Xenopus tropicalis: one gene and its partners. The protein of the gene in region 1 purifies or fractionates together with the protein of each later gene. This does not show direct contact. Links are inferred from orthologs where the notes say so. Each region holds a gene or a part of one and is shown in the gene's direction. Other genes may lie near its edges. The genes, in order: fbxl5, cul1, ciao2b, mms19 and aco1.

Region 1 (4,234 bases):
AGGGTTGAGATCAAGCCGCTATTTGACCAGCCTAGCTGGCGATTCTAGTGCCAGTATTACAAATTTACCAGCAATATATAAGGATGGCAGCCCTACCTATAAATCCTGTCCTTCCCTGACTCTTTCCCTATGTAGCCCACCCATTTTCCCACCCTGTGATATCACTGCTTGCCAGTATTCACTGTAAAAAAAAGGTGGCAACCCAAGCTAGGACAGCATGGATCATTACAGTTATAAGGCTGTTGGGCCTCAGGCCTGGAACAGTAAGTTCAGTATATAAAAGAATTTCTAGCAATACAGTAAAAGCCCTATTTTAATTCTGTCAAATGTAAAATCAGGGAAATGGTTTAAAGTAGAGGATATAAGTACAGGAGCCAAATTTGCTTTGCAATAGAGTTCTTCACCCTGCTACTGGCTCAACTTCAAGCAGTTTAGCATTAATCTATAGGATATGTGGACGGCATTTGCAGGATCCCTTTGAAAGTTTCATGCACAACCTAACACTACAGGACTGGGTGCAAAAATGACACCTGGCCCATTCATCCACCTAACCAAAATGTCAGTTTAGGGTTCTGGTATCTCCTGCAGGCACCATGGGTTGGGCTGGCACCATGGGTCGGGCTGGCACCCCCCCCCCCCCCTCCTCTTTCTGGTAATTACCCAAGTGTTTACAGAGAACAAAAATACATTTTTAGGAAAACGAGAAAAAAATAATTAAAATGCAGGAAAATGTGATGTAAAATTTAGGTGAATTGGAACTGGTAGGACTGGAAAAAAAAATAAGAAAATTTTAAATTGTGGTTAAGAAGGGAACGTAAAGTTGTAAGTTGTAAAGTTAAGGTTTGCCTGTATTGTTTATTTAAGCTTTACTTCTCCTTCTTTAGTAACACTGGCATCAATTAGTGTTTTCACTTTTTCTGTAAAAAATATACAATCTTTCCTGCTTATAAATAACACTTGCATTAGTATCCGCCTCATGTTAATACTGTTAATTGAGCATTTAGAAACACTGAAAACGACCCACTCTTTGCAAAATAAAACATAAATCCTCATTGTAAAAATAAATGTGATACATTTTCAACTAAAATGTTTAGAGCTGCTACGTGTGCCTTTGGGTTTGAAAAATGGTTTTGTCCCAACAGGCGGAGATCGCTCAGCGCATGCGCAGGACCGTGAGGCTTGTCACTTTTACGAGCGTTACTTATATAGTGACCGAGAAAGTAGCATTGCGCATGCGCATTGAAGCTACGGTGGCCGTTATAGAACGCATGCTCATAGGACGGCTATCAGGATACTAGGCAACCGGCCATGCCAAGTTTGCGGCTGCGCAGCTGCTAGCTTCTCTGTGCATTACGTGACAGGTTGGATTGCGCAGGCGCAGTAGGGAAGTGTAGGCCGTAGTTGCGCAGTTGTGAGGAGGAGGTCTGCCGTCGGGTTATTTTGGCAGGGCTGTGTGAGCTTGTCGGTCACTCTGGGTTTTTGAGCGCTTGGGAGCTCTTGTATGGAGAGGCGGACATGGCTCCATTTCCGGACGAGGTGGACTTGTTCACTGGACCACACTGGCGGATGAAGCAGCTGGTGGGGAGGTATTGCGAGAAGGTAAATTCTGTAGGATGATGGCGGCTTGGGATTATGGGAAACTGAAAGATTCTCACTACATCCCCCAGCATCCCATGGCAACCCTCTGAGCCAGTCTGAGAACCCCATGCTATTAGGGATATTGATCCAGTCCTGGCTTTGTTAAAAGCCCAATTCTTCATTCCTTTAGATGGGAATATAGACACATACCTGCACTGTATGTATAGCATAGGTATTGTACAGCACCCCCCGGGTTATACTTCATACGCTGGTACTATCGCCCTACTGATACAGAGCAGCGCTGCCATTTGTAGTTCAGCAACAGCAGGGAACTTTAGTGCAGGCAGTGGGCTGAGGGCAGATTTGTTATACATTATACACGGGTAGGGACAGGGGTTCTTCTCTGGGATTCCCAGCATCACATGGGGAAGGGAAAGGCAGATAAAAGCCCCCAGGGTACATCAGGGTACTGTTATATAAAGTCTGACCTGGTCAAGTAGACCAATCAGATGTCAGCCAGCCCATCAATTAGTTGCTATGGGATACTAGACTGAAAGCCAGCTTTGCTTAACCTTTATAATGTTGATATTTTGAGTGTATGCAAAAGGATTGTCAGTGCTGTAGCCTTCCAGCTTCTTGTTGAATTGCAACTCTCCCCATCCCGAGTCAGCTGATCGCTCCAGCTGGAAGTTCTGCAGGTTCTGTGGGGGCCCAGCCCTTGCGCGTATCCTGGCACCCCCTCTCTGTTATTACTGACCCTGGTTATGAATATTTGTCTTCATAGTGGTTGGACTGCAGCTGCCATTATGCCTTGGAGTCTTGAACATTTTTAAACTGGGCCAGTTCTTCATGAAATAAATGCCCAATGCTCTAATAACATCACTTACACAAGTGTTTTCTGGCTTCTCTCCCATTCTGTAGATGCCTGAGCTTTGTGCCATCACTCTAACCCTACAGAATGTCTGCATTGGCAGAGTTTGTACAGATGTATAAAGAGCCCTATACCCATTAGGGCAGGGATTCTCAACCTGAGGGTCGGGACCTGAATGTGGGTCCCCTTAATCCCTTTATTATAGACTATATGGAGGTGCATATTCCATCATTTTCATTTGAAAGGGAATCCATTGTAACATTGTATCACCTTGTGTCTCAACCCTTTCTCCTTGTAGAGTGTAAGCTCTTTTGGGCAGGGCTCTCTTCACCTCTTGTATCGGTTATTGATTGCTTTATATGTTACTCTGTATGTCCAATGTATGAAACCCACTTATTGAACAGCGCTGCGGAATATGTTGGCACTTTATAAATAAATGTTAATAATAATAATAATAGTTGTATGAAGAGCCTATGAGAGTGTGGTATGATTGGCATTCCTGTTGCAAGAGTTTGGCAGCTGGACACAAACATCAGGAGGCCAAATCTCAGGGGTGCTGCTATCAGTGTTGTCCCTTACGGGCAGTGTCACCCAAAAAGGCATACTGTCTGCAGTTGGGTGGGGGTGGTTTTATTGTTCAAGATGGCCTTGGGAAGGGTTATACATTGACCGTTCTCTCCCTCCCACCCCCTACTAGAAGAGCTAGTACTGAATTACAGCAATGCACACAGGGTGAATTAGTTCTACCTCTGGAGCCATACACTGGCCATGCCCCAAATTGCCCTGTGAACCATCCCTTTAAGTGAGATGGATGCCCGGGATGATGAGGAAGCGGCTTACCTTCCATTCCCTGAGCTGCTTCAGGATAGGCTTGGGCTGTGTAAGGTAGAAATGTAAGCCAATCCCCATATTTTCTGTCCTGTCATGCTTATGGGTCACTTTCCCATTTCAACATGAAATTTGCTGATTCATAGGTGAGGTGATTAGTGGCGGACGGATGTCAGAGCTTGTGAGGTCTCTTGGCAGTAGCCGGAGGCAGCGTGTGAGTTACAGGAGCATTTTGTTCCTATGCCGGCATTTAGACAACATTTAGGCTGAGTGCTTCTGGCCGAGCTGCTCTGTGTGCACTGACAGGCAGGTTCCAATCCTGACCGTGTGCAGAGGGGGGCTGAATCTGGATTTTCTTTTGTTAGTTTGCATGAAGCATTTATTATCCTGCCAAGCAGCTTGCTATTCTTTTTTTAATTGCACTAATCTTTACAGTAACGACATGGGTTTTAAAACCCATTGCTGGTGTTAGGCTTAAAATATTTTTATATTGGTGAGATTGAGATTATAGAGCGCTGTGTGTGTGAGGCAAGACTGTGTAACACGTAAGTAATGCACACTTAGCCTTGGAGTCACACACATTTCCATTGGTTTGTGTAAGAGTGAAATTGCACATATATACCCTGATTTGGTCAGGCAGTTTGCCCATTTTTGACCACCCTCCCTGACCTTTTGGGTATGTGTTGGGGTTTGGTTTCAACAGACCATTCTGTGACCAAGTTGGATGTGGGTTGTGAGTCCAGCGGGGCAATGTGATGTGCTGACGCAGCTGGTTGGTTGGAGCTTGGTGCGTTTCCTGCTGCTCCTGTCGTTCTGCCTGTTGGCTCCTAGGGTTGGCAGGACAAGTGGGGCTGGATTGCCTACAGTCATCAGGTTGGCAAGTAGGTGTTCCTTGGGTAACATGTTGGGCTCAGGGGAAAGATAGGCAGGAGTGTGGTGTGTGTAGAGTTAACTTTC
Region 2 (3,521 bases), on another chromosome or scaffold:
CAAATCTCCTAAAGGTAAGTTTTTGTTAAATTGAATCTCTGAGGGAATGCAATATGAACAACATGTTTCTAATACTTCATAAAATAAATGGATTTATGTTTCATATGCTGTATACAGACATAATTGTGCATTCTTCATTTTATCGTATCTGATTTATTTTTATTGTAGGGCCACAGTATATCATTAATACTGTGTAAAAAAAACAAACCAAAAAAACTACCTGCATAACTCATTGGCACTACTACTATAGGGGAGCACAGGTTTAAATCATGCTGCAGAGCAGTGTAGGTAACCTACTACCAGCTGCAGCCTACCAGTTGTCATGAGCTTAATTTTCCTGCAGCAGGATATCTGCTGCCATTTGTATTCCAAGCATATTTTGTGATATTAGGAGTACAGAATGCTATCAAAATACATTGTTTTGGTTCACAGGTCTTTAATATCTTCCATACTAGACAGGTTTAATGCATCCAAACTTGTTGCTAAAGCTGCTTGCAAGATGACTTTTATATTTTTATTTGTAATTATTACTGCATAGAAGGCAACTAAAATTGTTTGGGAATATGGTATATTAATATGTACTCCCCAGGATGGAGAAGATTTGATGGATGAGAGCGTACTGAAGTTTTACACACAGCAATGGGAAGATTACAGGTTTTCAAGTAAAGTGCTGAATGGAATCTGCGCATACCTCAACCGGCACTGGGTTCGCCGTGAGTGTGATGAAGGCCGCAAAGGAATATATGAAATATATTCTGTAAGTTGGATAACATTTGCTTACATTAGTAAACCCATTTCAACAGATTGCTTGATAAGAGAACCTATAACTGACTATTTTTCTTAACAGTGGGTGATTACATCGTTAATAGGTCTTTGTTTGTGTTCCTTTCTCCTAGCTGGCCTTAGTGACATGGAGGGATTGTCTGTTTAAGCCTTTGAATAAGCAGGTAAATATCAATACCTTGTTATACAGTCAAACTTATTGTTATTTGTGACATTTACATGATCGTTATTCTTGTAGCTGTGCTATTATGCAGTTCATCAAAGAGGCACTGTGTAAACTGAACCTTAAATTATGGCATGGTTGAAAATCAAAACAATTTTTCCCTGTGCTTCCCCTCTCCAAATACAACTGGCTTTAATATAAATTTTTTACTGTTTCTCTTACCATTTACCACAGCAAGTTGTAAGTTATGCTGTGTTCAGTAATCATCTGACAATGTATACTGCAGATGTCCCTCCTGTTGGCCCTCACTGTGCTAGCCCTAGTGTTGAGCATTGACAGTGCTTCATGCTCACAGCATACCTGAGGTGCCCATTCTCATCTTCAGTAGTGATCTGTAATTGTTGATGCTGCATTTCCAAGTTGGTAGACGGGATGTTTTTTTTGTTTTCTTCCATTCCGCTCATATTTTTTTAAATCACACCTCCACATACATACATATAACAAAAAGTTGGTAATTGTGAAGTAAATTTGTGACACTATTTGGTCTGTTTCAAAAGGTAACAAATGCTGTGCTGAAACTGATTGAAAAGGAACGAAATGGTGAAACAATAAACACCAGGCTTATAAGTGGAGTGGTGCAATCTTATGGTAAGTTAATTTTAATATGTATCCCTGCATCTGCTAATGCATAACTAATCTTTACAACATCACACTCAGAATTACACAGAGATATGGATACAGTATTAGATGTTAGGCAAGTGCTGTGAGGTTTTTCTTCTGATGATCTGTGTTCTGACTGTTTGATTTGATTGCCATCATCCTTGCATTATATATTATATATATATATATATATATATATATATATATAAATAACACTGAGAGGAGCACTCAAATATAATAAAGTGTCTGCCTGGGTGCAAATAAAATTAATAATAAAAATAGAAAGCTTTATACATAACAGGACTTGTGCAAAAAATCAAAACAACAATTAAATCACTATTTGATTTTCAGTTAAATGAGCCTAAATTAATAACACTTGATTAGTGATTTTTTTGGGAGGAAATTTCTTCGTTAAATCTGTTTAATGTTGTGTGCAGAGCCATATTTATAGGCGCCCGAGAGCCCCATTCGCAGCAGGGGATGGCCTACGGATGCCCCAAGGTTTGGGGGTGTGTGAATTAGGTCCAATGCCTAGGGTGGCACTAGACCTAAATATAGCTGGTTATGTAAATACAACTGTTAATGTGTCTGTGCTAGAAAAGGTTAATGCTTAGTCCACTTTGGTTCACGTAAAATAGATGGGTTCTCGTAATAAAAGGCACCATGCCAGCCAATGTAAAAAAATAAATTGAAAAAAAATCACAAAGCAGTAAAAATATGTTTTTCTTTCAAGTTGAGCTTGGCTTGAATGAAGATGATGCATTTGCCAAAGGCCCAACACTGACTGTTTATAAAGAGTCCTTTGAGTCTCAGTTTTTGGCAGACACAGAACGGTTTTATACAAGAGAGAGCACAGAGTTTTTACAGCAGAACCCTGTCACAGAATATATGAAAAAGGTAGGTCTGCTTTCTTTTGAAAATCTGCTATACTGTTACCAGGGTGAGGTAACCTGGTTCCAAAGAAGCAAGTATTGTTACTAATGCTAGATGTTAGGCAGCCATTTGCCAATGCTTCTGTTACACACACATTATAGGGCTTGATAGCTCTGTCTCTTCAGTGACTGTATAGGAGAAGCACAGCGAATGGTGCAAACATTTTTAGAATTGTAATTCTTTCATATATGGTGAGCAATGATTGCTTCATTCGCATTTTCAAGATTATTCTTTCTCTCTGCATTTCCCTTTATATAATAGTTGGTGTAATAATGTTAATTTTTAGGGGGGGGGGAGGTAAAACTGATAATGCTCCACACACCGCAACACACCACATCAGTTTGTATGAAATACAAACTGAAGTGACAGTTAGTGGCACCTTCTAATTGTGCAAAGTGATACATATTCACAGAAGTAATGCTTAGTGAATAGAATACCTATTCTGTCTAAGAAAAGAAAAGTCTGCATATTAGAAGAGTTTATGCACCCTGCTGTGTAATAACATTGTTCTGTGTGTGCCTAAGGCTTATTATTGCTTTTGTCTTTTTTAGGCAGAAGCTCGGCTTTTGGAGGAGCAGCGCAGAGTACAAGTATACTTACATGAGAGCACACAGGATGAACTAGCACGGAAATGTGAACAAGTCCTAATTGAAAAACATCTAGAGATTTTCCACACTGAATTTCAGAATTTACTAGATGCTGATAAAAATGAAGGTAATTATCTAACACGGGCCACTATGCTCCAAAATGAATACATTTCTACATGGGCCGCGAGCTATTACAAACAATAGCTAATTTCTGTGTAATGCTGGGAGTTGTGTACATGCACAGTTGTTGGCTATTGGGCCAGTAGCTTCTATGAATTTCTTGAATTCCTATTGGTTTATCAAAATAGATTGCCAGCCTGTATACCAATGTTAACCTTCTTACACTGTTAGAGCAAAATTAAGGTGGCCATACACGATACAATTGCGATCCTATG
Region 3 (4,156 bases), on another chromosome or scaffold:
CCCGTGGGCAATGACTGGTAGAACATAGATGGGCCCGTGGGCAATGACTGGTAGAACATAGATGGGCCCGTGGGCAATGACTGGTAGAACATAGATGGGCCCGTGGGCAATGACTGGTAGAACGTAGATGGGCCCGTGGGCAATGACTGGTAGAACATAGATGGGCCCGTGGGGCAATGACTGGTAGAACATAGATGGGCCCGTGGGCAATGACTGGTAGAACATAGATGGGGCCCGTGGGCAATGACTGGTAGAACATAGATGGGCCCGTGGGCAATGACTGGTAGAACATAGATGGGCCCGTGGGCAATGACTGGTAGAACATAGATGGGCCCGTGGGCAATGACTGGTAGAACATAGATGGGCCCGTGGGCAATGACTGGTAGAACATAGATGGGCCCGTGGGCAATGACTGGTAGAACATAGATGGGCCCGTGGGCAGTGACTGGTAGAACGTAGATGGGCCCGTGGGCAATGACTGGTAGAACATAGATGGGCCCGTGGGCAATGACTGGTAGAACATAGATGGGCCCGTGGGCAATGACTGGTAGAACATAGATGGGCCGTGGGCAATGACTGGTAGAACATAGATGGGCCCGTGGGCAGTGACTGGTAGAACGTAGATGGGCCCGTGGGCAATGACTGGTAGAACATAGATGGGCCCGTGGGCAATGACTGGTAGAACATAGATGGGCCTGTGGGCAATGACTGGTAGAACGTAGATGGGCCCGTGGGCAGTAGGAAATATCCAGTAGAGAAGTGGCTATACCTTTGCTTGTTGCTATGATACTGTATGTTTAAGGTGGCTGAGTTGGCCGGGCAGGGGCTGATCCCCTAGTGATTCATTCATTCACTTATATTAATCCTAGCTGTAGGCTAATTGTTAGATACAAACTACATTACCCAGCATGCAGTGGGACAGGTGCGTCAGGTTTACCAGGTTTCCACACTACAAACCCGCCAAGGCTCCATAGAAACAGCCCAAATCTGTACCTTAGCGGGTTTGTACTTTGGAAACCCACCTGGGCTTTAGTTAGTAGCTCAATTGGGTGGAAAAGCCGCCAACCCGGTAACCCTGACGGTAGCACTTAGTGTAACCAAGCCAATAGCTAAGGCTTCCGGTTTCCGGGCTGAACCATACCAACCTATACATTCTGATTCTAATTTGCCAGGATAAAACATGGCGTTTTCCTTTTCCGCCCTTTTCCACACAGCCGGTGATTGGTAGGCATTGCAAACCAATCCAAGAGGCTCGGCCAGTGATTGGCCCGCTGCGGGTGAATCAGCCAATGGCAGGCGGAGGTGCCTATTGCCAGACGGAAACATTTCCCGCACGGCGTGGTGAGGGCGGAAGTGGTACGGTAGGAATAAGGGTCCGGGGATGGTGGGAGGGAGCCAGCTGGAGAACGCGAATCCGCTCATTTACCGGCGGGCGGGGGAGCGGCAGGTCACAGCGCAGGAGGAGGATGAGGACGCGCCGGACCGGATCGATGACCGGGAGATCTTTGATATCCTTCCGCGTATATGAGCCGTACCCATGGGCGTAGTGCCGGGCTCACCCCCTGCCTGTTCCCTAGCAACCGGGGGATAGAGCCCTCTCCCGATAATATCCGTGTCCTTCCTGCCCCTTGTATCCGCCTGTGCCCATGGGGGTAACTGCCTCGTACTGTTGCCTAATACCCCCCCCCCCCCAAATCTACTGCCCTGGGCTGTCATCCACTCAGCGCAGTCTTATCCCTATCTGCCCCAGCAACTGCCCCCTTCCTATACTGACCCTTCCCTATCTATCTGCCCCTTCCTATACTGACCCTTCCCTATCTATCTGCCCCAGCAACTGCCCCCTTCCTATACTGCCCCTTTCCTATCTATCTGCCCCAGCAACTGCCCCCTTCCTATACTGCCCCTTCCCTATCTATCTGCCCCAGCAACTGCCCCCTTCCTATACTGCCCCTTCCCTATCTATCTGCCCCAGCAACTGCCCCCTTCCTATACTGCCCCTTCCCTATCTATCTGCCCCAGCAACTGCCCCCTTCCTATACTGACCCTTCCGTATCTATCTGCCCCAGCAACTGACCCTTCCGTATCTATTTGCCCCAGCCCTATATATCTGCCCCAGAAACTAACCCTTTTATATATATTTGCCCTATTCCTTTACTGACCCTTCCCTATTTACCTGTCCCATCCCTATACTGACCCTTATCTATTTATTTGCCCCATCCTAATACTTGCACTTCCCTATCTATCTACCCCTGCAACTGCCCCATACCTAAACTGACCCTTCCCTATCTATCTGCCCCATACCTATACTGACCCTTCCCTATCTATCTGCCCCATACCTATACTGACCCTTCCCTATCTATCTGCCCCTGCAACTGCCCCTGCAACTGCCCCATACCTATACTGACCCTTCCCTATCTATCTGCCCCATACCTATACTGACCCTTCCCTATCTATCTGCCCCATACCTATACTGACCCTTCCCTATCTATCTGCCCCATACCTATACTGACCCTTCCCTATCTATCTGCCCCTTCCCTATCTATCTGCCCCATACCTATACTGACCCTTCCCTATCTATCTGCCCCATACCTATACTGCCCCCTTCCCTATCTATCTGCCCCATACCTATACTGCCCCTTCCCTATCTATCTGCCCCATACCTATACTGCCCCTTCCCTATCTATCTGCCCCATACCTATACTGACCCTTCCCTATCTATCTGCCCCATACCTATACTGACCCTTCCCTATCTATCTGCCCCTTCCCTATCTATCTGCCCCATACCTACACTGACCCTTCCCTATCTATCTGCCCCATACCTACACTGACCCTTCCCTATCTATCTGCCCCATACCTATACTGCCCCTTCCCTATCTATCTGCCCATACCTACACTGACCCTTCCCTATCTATCTGCCCCCATACCTATACTGACCCTTCCCTATCTATCTGCCCCATACCTACACTGACCCTTCCCTATCTATCTGCCCCATACCTATACTGACCCTTCCCTATCTATCTGCCCCTTCCCTATCTATCTGCCCCATACCTATACTGACCCTTCCCTATCTATCTGCCCCATACCTATACTGCCCCTTCCCTATCTATCTGCCCCATACCTATACTGCCCCTTCCCTATCTATCTGCCCCATACCTACACTGACCCTTCCCTATCTATCTGCCCCATACCTATACTGACCCTTCCCTATCTATCTGCCCCTTCCCTATCTATCTGCCCCATACCTATACTGACCCTTCCCTATCTATCTGCCCCATACCTATACTGACCCTTCCCTATCTATCTGCCCCATACCTATACTGACCCTTCCCTATCTATCTGCCCCTGTAACTGCCCCATACTTATACTGACCTTTTCATATACAGTATATCTGCCCTTGCAACTGCCCCTTCCCTATCCATTTGCCCCAACAATTGCCCAATCCCTTCACTCATTCTCCGATATCAGCCCCAAGCTCCAGCCTCTAACTGCCTCTCAACAACCTTCCACATTTATTGTAAAGGGCAAGTAGCACCAAAGCAAGTTTTTTGTTAATGAATTTAATATGCGGTTACCCAGCATTGCTAGTCATTGTGTATAAGGAATTCGCTGTGTAGCCGGGGGGCTGCCATTCATGTTCCAGCGGGGCCCCCCTGTATATTGGAGGTACAGGAGACGCTGTTTGCAATACAAATATTTCAGAACTTGAGCTGGGCTCATATAGGCACCAACTCAGGATGAAACTTGCTCCTATCAAATAAAACTGATACACATACTCCCAGTTATAATGTCACTGGCCCATTAACCCTTTGGTAGCTTGCATGTTCTACTTATTGAGTTTACTCCTTGCTTTCCCTTCCATTGCCCTTAATTCCGGTACATCTGATTCGCTGTATAAATGACCCGGAACACCCACTTACGCTGGAGGAACTAAACGTGGTTGAAGAAATTCGAGTGAAGGTGCAAATTGCTTGTTACCCTATGGCCCCCCCCCCCCCCCCCCCCAGTATAAGTAAATGTTATGTACTAACAGAAGAGCTAAATTCTCTTAGTGAATATCCCTATTACTGTGCGTGTTTGTTCCTCAGGTAAGTGATGAGGAGAGCACAGTGTCCGTCGAGTTTACCCCGACCATCCCGCACTGCAGTATGGCAACGCT
Region 4 (2,632 bases), on another chromosome or scaffold:
CAATACGTGATTGGGCTCTGTAAAGCCCAAGCGAGCGGATCTTCACCCGATATCCCCATCTACGGGTTGGCAATGTCGGGGAACATGTAGGCTAATTCGATCATTTGGCCCTGGGGCCAAATGATCGAATTATAATGGCGGCAATAGGGCAGTCGGTTCGGGGACCACATCAACGAGCCGATGTGGTCCCCAACTGAATTTTTTAACCTGCCCGATCGATATCTGCCCAATTTCAGGCCAGATATCGGTCGGGTATGGCTGTCGTTTCTGCCCCTACACGGGCTGATAAGCTGCCGAATCGGTCCAATTGCTTATCGTATTTAATAAGAGCATTGGTTATTCTTCGTTGCAATGATTCTGTAATTGATTGGATGGAATGCATCGCAGGCCTAACAGATGTATGTTCCTCGCTGTGGTCAGTGTGAGTGAGATATTCTGCACTCCTCAGGCACCTAGCTTTGGCTGACAAAGGCCAAATTTACCATCACAGCTGGAAAGTGAACCTCCAGCGGTTACATTTCCCTTGGGCAGAGTGTGTGGAGCAGTTTGTGTTGTGATCTTGATTCTACTTAAAAGATAAAAGGCTAATTCTTTCTTCCTTTCGCCCTTTCTAGGCTGTTCGGATTACAGCTTTGAAGTGTATCCTTGCTCTCACCAAGCTCCCCTTGCACATGGTAAGAATGCACCTTTGGTGCCATTGCACTTCTACGCTCACTGCTCAGTGTATATCTGTGCCAGTCAGTATGGCTTCTGTGCATAACCGGATTTATATGGATCATACTGTTATATATGGATTTCTCTTGCCAGCTCCTGCCTTATAAGCAACAGGTGATCCGTGCCTTAGCCAAACCTCTGGATGACAAGAAAAGACTAGTGAGGAAGGAGGCAGTCGAGACTCGCTGCCAGTGGTAGGTTCACAGTGTATCTTTATTTTACTGAGTGCATATGGCCTCTTTACAGGGAACGTTACAGGATATATAAACTCCCCCCACACAAACAGCCTCTTTGAAATCTTTCAATACCTGCTGCAGCATCCCCTTAATCACTTAGGATTTCTTCTTCTCTAACCCACTCGGCCCTCTCCCTCAGGAATTTACTTTGGCTGTTGGCTAGTGGGCATGCTCAGTTGTTCTTGGCTCACGCCCCCCAGTCTAGCAGCCAATGAAGAGATGGCATTGCTTGTTCTCATAGAAACTATCTGCCTGCTCCATGTTTTCTCCTTACCTCACCTATTGCTTTTTTTAAATTTTGTGGTTTTTCAGTTAACTTTTGGTTCAGCTGGTTCATTTTTGAATTTCAGCAGCTATCTGGTTACTAGTTACTTATTTACCTTAGCAGCCAGTCAGTGGTTTGAATGAGAGACTGGAATATGAAGAGGGGAGGGTCTCAATAGAAATATATGGAATATAAAGTAACAATAACATCAAAATTTTAGCCTCACAAAGCAAAAGATTTTTTTGACTGCCGGGGTCAGTGACCCCCATTTGAAAGCTGGATACGTGCACATTAGGAAGGCAAATAATTTAAAAACTCTAAAAAAAAAAATAAAGAAGACAAACTGCAAAGTTGCTAGGAATAGCCATTGTCTGCCATAAGCCTAAAGAGCAATAGTGATCTGCAACTGTTGTAGGGCACAATATTGAGTTTTTTGCTCCCCTAATTGATGGTGTGCTCATTCTTTGTTCTTCCCCCTTTAGGTTCTTGCTTGGAAGTCCAGGGAGCTGAGAACAGACTGGATTCTAACTTTGCACGGAGACAATCTAGCCAGGATGCCACTTATTCTTACGACATGATCAACACCATGACTCCATGTGCCATCTTGTTTAGTCGCCCCTCAAATACTGACAACCCCAGGCCCTAACATAGAAGCGGGACCTGCTCACGTCATTAACTCACTGCTAAGTGGATCACAGACGTCCTGCAGCTTTATATTGCACATGAACGATGGTAGCACAGATGTACATTAGATCAATGACTTGGCATGTGGATGAAGAGAACTAGTCCATGAAATATATATAAGGTGTATATTATAACGTATAGTTCTGTGAATGAATAGCAACGCCAGTCTCTTGGCCTGGTTTTAAGTTGGACATAAAAGTTGTTTTTTTTTTTTTACTGTGTGTGTGTTGTAAAGCTTCCCCTTGGGGCTCCAGTCTGGGGGAGATTCTCTCCTGCTGCTGTATGAGAAGAATTTTCTAGAAAGGTGAGGTACACGGGGAATTTTCCCTAAAGCCAAGGTAAATGTGGATTCTCATGCCCATTTTAACTTGATGCTGCTATCCGGAGCAGGTGTGTTCCATGCCTGAGGATTAACATAGGAAAGCAATTATTCTAAGTGCTGAGCTAGCTAACAAAGGTATTTCCCATTCTCTGCACCATCAATACTGCAAATGTTTACATTAAAACTAGCAAATTCGTCTAATGTGTATTTTGTGTTTGAGGTTTTCCTTAAAAGGCCGATACAATATTGGTCCATGTTAACCTACTGAATGGTTTAAGGATACGTAAACCTGCCAAAATAATACATTTTGTAGTTTCTGTTACTGTACAGTCGAAGAGCTATACCTTCAGAAGGAAAATAGGTGTTCTGACGTTGCTATGTGCAAGAAAGATCTTATAAGCCTCAGATGCC
Region 5 (2,401 bases), about 89 Mb from region 1:
GTGTTGATTTTGCAGGAGCTGAAATGACAGAAATGACAGTTCATATGGGGGTATGTTCACATTGGGGCCCCTACATGCCACATACTTAGGTAAACCTATACATATTGGGCATCAAACTGTTCAGTGGACCCCTGGCGTTCAAATTCAGGGTGTTTTATCTTGGTATCTAATGCTATGTGGGAGATAAGATGCTTCAAAGTGGAAGCTTTGAGGGGATTTTTGGAAATGTCATCAAAATTGCTAACTTTAGAAAAGCTGTGCGGCTTGGTACTTTGGAGTAGAAAGACATGGGTACCCATTTTAGATTCGGGGGAATGTGTACTTTCCAAAAATATATGACTTTCTGGGGTGAGCGTACTTTTTACTAGCTTCATCCCACATATAATGATGTAAATGTGTTGATTTTGCAGAAGCTGAAATGACAGAAATGACAGTTCATATGGGGTATGTTCACATTGGGGCCCCTACATGCCACATACTTAGGTAAACCTATACATATTGGGCATCAAACTGTTCAGTGGACCCCAGGCATTCATATTTAGGGTGTTTTATTTGGTTACTTTATGACCTGTAGGAGATAAGATACTATAGACTAGAAGCTTTGAAGCGATTTTTAAAAAAAATCACAAATTTTGATAAAAACCAATAACTTTAGGAAAGCATTGCGACTTGATAGTTTGGAGTAGACAGACAGTTGTGCCTATTCTGTATTCCCCAGAATCTGTTCTTTCCAAAAATGTACAATTTTCTGGGATAAAACTTCTGTTAGTGGAATTTTGGCCTTGAAATCCAAAGTATGCAGTTTTTTTGGAGCAGTGCTTTGGGAATTTGGTAGTGTACTGCTGGGAGTTTTTGACCTATACAAGTGAGAAATCTCCATAAAACTATATATATTTGGTATTGGCACGTTCAGGAGACATGGGACTTTCCAAATCAGTTGTATATTCGTGCATAAAATAATTTTTGTTTCTAGTATGTGTGATTATATTATGGAAAATTTGATTTTTTTTGCATTTTTAGACATTTAGAAGCCTATATCTTGTTACAGAATTGGAATTACACAAAAATTCTACCATATTTTGAAAGCTTAGGTTGTTCTGAAAAAAATGATATATTGTTTTCCTTGGTAAACTAAAAGTCCCCCCGAGGAAAGGCCCCTAAAGTGAAACAGTGCAAAATGTTCAAAAACTGTCTGGCAATACAAGTTCCGCTTTGACCAAAATGGCTGGCAGTAAAAAGGTTAAAGCACTAAAAATTTTCAATAAATTTACATTGGAACGTTGCTTGGAATTATCAGTCAATTATAATTGGAATTATGTTTTCTTTGATTCTGCAAAAAAATTATTTTTGGGGTTGACATGACCTTTAAGGATGGGGGGGGTTTGTTTATTCAGTGTTTATTATCCTCCTTTAAAAAGAAAACCTTGTTTAGGTTGGCAGAGTAGAGTGAGTTTAGTAAAAAACAAAACTTCCCATGAGTGCCTTAAAAAGTAAGAAAAACTAGAATTTTTAATGAAAAAAGAGGCAGAATAGATACTCACCTAAAGGTTTATTAGGAACACCTGTTCAATTTCTCATTAATGCAATTATCTAATCAACCAATCACATGGCAGTTGCTTCAATGCATATATTTCAAGATCTGCTCAGTTACTGCATGTGTTACTCAGTATGCGGCAGTCCTGTGGGCGAAAATGCCTTGTTGATGCTAGAGGTCAGAGGAAGGGTATTAGTATGGTGTTCCTAATAATCCTTTAGGTGAGTGTATACTGCCCTTTAATTAAAGTGAGGTGAGAGTATAATATAGCTCTACCTTTATTGCTGGTCATCCATTCACCTCTCGATTTTTCGTTATGTGTCAAAAACTATTATTTTTTTTCCTGGTAGCTGTTGCATCCATATATAATGCAGAAGAAAATAACCCATTATGTTGGCTGATTAATAAATATTATGAAACATAACACAAATCTGTGTTCCTTGATTGAAGTATGTCATTTTATTTATGTCATTGAAATCACTACATTCTGCCAATAGCATCATTTTCTAAATGGCTACTGAACCTTCTTCTTATTGCCTTTCTAAATGTGTGTATTGGAAATATATTTGTTTTTTGTTTTGTTTTTTAGCTTGATATATTTGATGCAGCTGAAAGATACCAAAATGATGGGCACAATTTAATCCTTCTGACAGGAAAAGAGTATGGTTCTGGAAGTTCTAGAGATTGGGCTGCAAAAGGTCCTTTCTTACAGGTATGGTGGCATCTGCTTATTCCAAATTTCTTTTGTTTTCATAAAACATTAATATTTATAGACTGTTCGATGCATGCACTATTGCACACAAGCAGAAAGAAAAACACAAAAAATCAAGTAAATAATTCAATTTGAATCAGTCCAATAGAATGTAA

The links.
Region 2: the proteins of fbxl5 (region 1) and cul1 purify together in Homo sapiens (affinity purification with western blotting; 11 studies listed by BioGRID and IntAct, counting the BioPlex papers as one, with this or other methods). This does not show direct contact. The link is inferred for Xenopus tropicalis from reciprocal best matches to the Homo sapiens genes FBXL5 and CUL1.
Region 3: the proteins of fbxl5 (region 1) and ciao2b purify together in Homo sapiens (affinity purification with mass spectrometry; 3 studies listed by BioGRID and IntAct, counting the BioPlex papers as one, with this or other methods). This does not show direct contact. The link is inferred for Xenopus tropicalis from reciprocal best matches to the Homo sapiens genes FBXL5 and CIAO2B.
Region 4: the proteins of fbxl5 (region 1) and mms19 purify together in Homo sapiens (affinity purification with mass spectrometry; 4 studies listed by BioGRID and IntAct, counting the BioPlex papers as one, with this or other methods). This does not show direct contact. The link is inferred for Xenopus tropicalis from reciprocal best matches to the Homo sapiens genes FBXL5 and MMS19.
Region 5: the proteins of fbxl5 (region 1) and aco1 purify together in Homo sapiens (affinity purification with western blotting; 3 studies listed by BioGRID, with this or other methods). This does not show direct contact. The link is inferred for Xenopus tropicalis from reciprocal best matches to the Homo sapiens genes FBXL5 and ACO1.

The regions. Positions count from the first base shown.
Region 1 is NC_030677.2:27,926,161-27,930,394, reverse strand, and holds the start of fbxl5 (F-box/LRR-repeat protein 5), read left to right. Parts: upstream 1-1,418; 5' UTR 1,419-1,515; coding exon 1,516-1,599; intron 1,600-4,234.
Region 2 is NC_030682.2:55,195,850-55,199,370, reverse strand, and holds part of cul1 (cullin-1), read left to right. Parts: coding exon 1-14; intron 15-589; coding exon 590-757; intron 758-896; coding exon 897-947; intron 948-1,503; coding exon 1,504-1,594; intron 1,595-2,339; coding exon 2,340-2,503; intron 2,504-3,090; coding exon 3,091-3,253; intron 3,254-3,521. UniProt on the Homo sapiens protein: Core component of multiple cullin-RING-based SCF (SKP1-CUL1-F-box protein) E3 ubiquitin-protein ligase complexes, which mediate the ubiquitination of proteins involved in cell cycle progression, signal transduction and transcription.
Region 3 is NC_030681.2:7,564,466-7,568,621, forward strand, and holds the start of ciao2b (mitotic spindle-associated MMXD complex subunit MIP18), read left to right. Parts: upstream 1-1,353; 5' UTR 1,354-1,381; coding exon 1,382-1,508; intron 1,509-3,877; coding exon 3,878-3,957; intron 3,958-4,085; coding exon 4,086-4,156.
Region 4 is NC_030683.2:33,008,325-33,010,956, reverse strand, and holds the end of mms19 (MMS19 nucleotide excision repair protein homolog), read left to right. Parts: intron 1-614; coding exon 615-674; intron 675-807; coding exon 808-908; intron 909-1,697; coding exon 1,698-1,725; 3' UTR 1,726-2,114; downstream 2,115-2,632. UniProt on the Homo sapiens protein: Key component of the cytosolic iron-sulfur protein assembly (CIA) complex, a multiprotein complex that mediates the incorporation of iron-sulfur cluster into apoproteins specifically involved in DNA metabolism and genomic integrity.
Region 5 is NC_030677.2:117,239,744-117,242,144, reverse strand, and holds part of aco1 (cytoplasmic aconitate hydratase), read left to right. Parts: intron 1-2,123; coding exon 2,124-2,246; intron 2,247-2,401. UniProt on the Homo sapiens protein: Bifunctional iron sensor that switches between 2 activities depending on iron availability. Iron deprivation, promotes its mRNA binding activity through which it regulates the expression of genes involved in iron uptake, sequestration and utilization.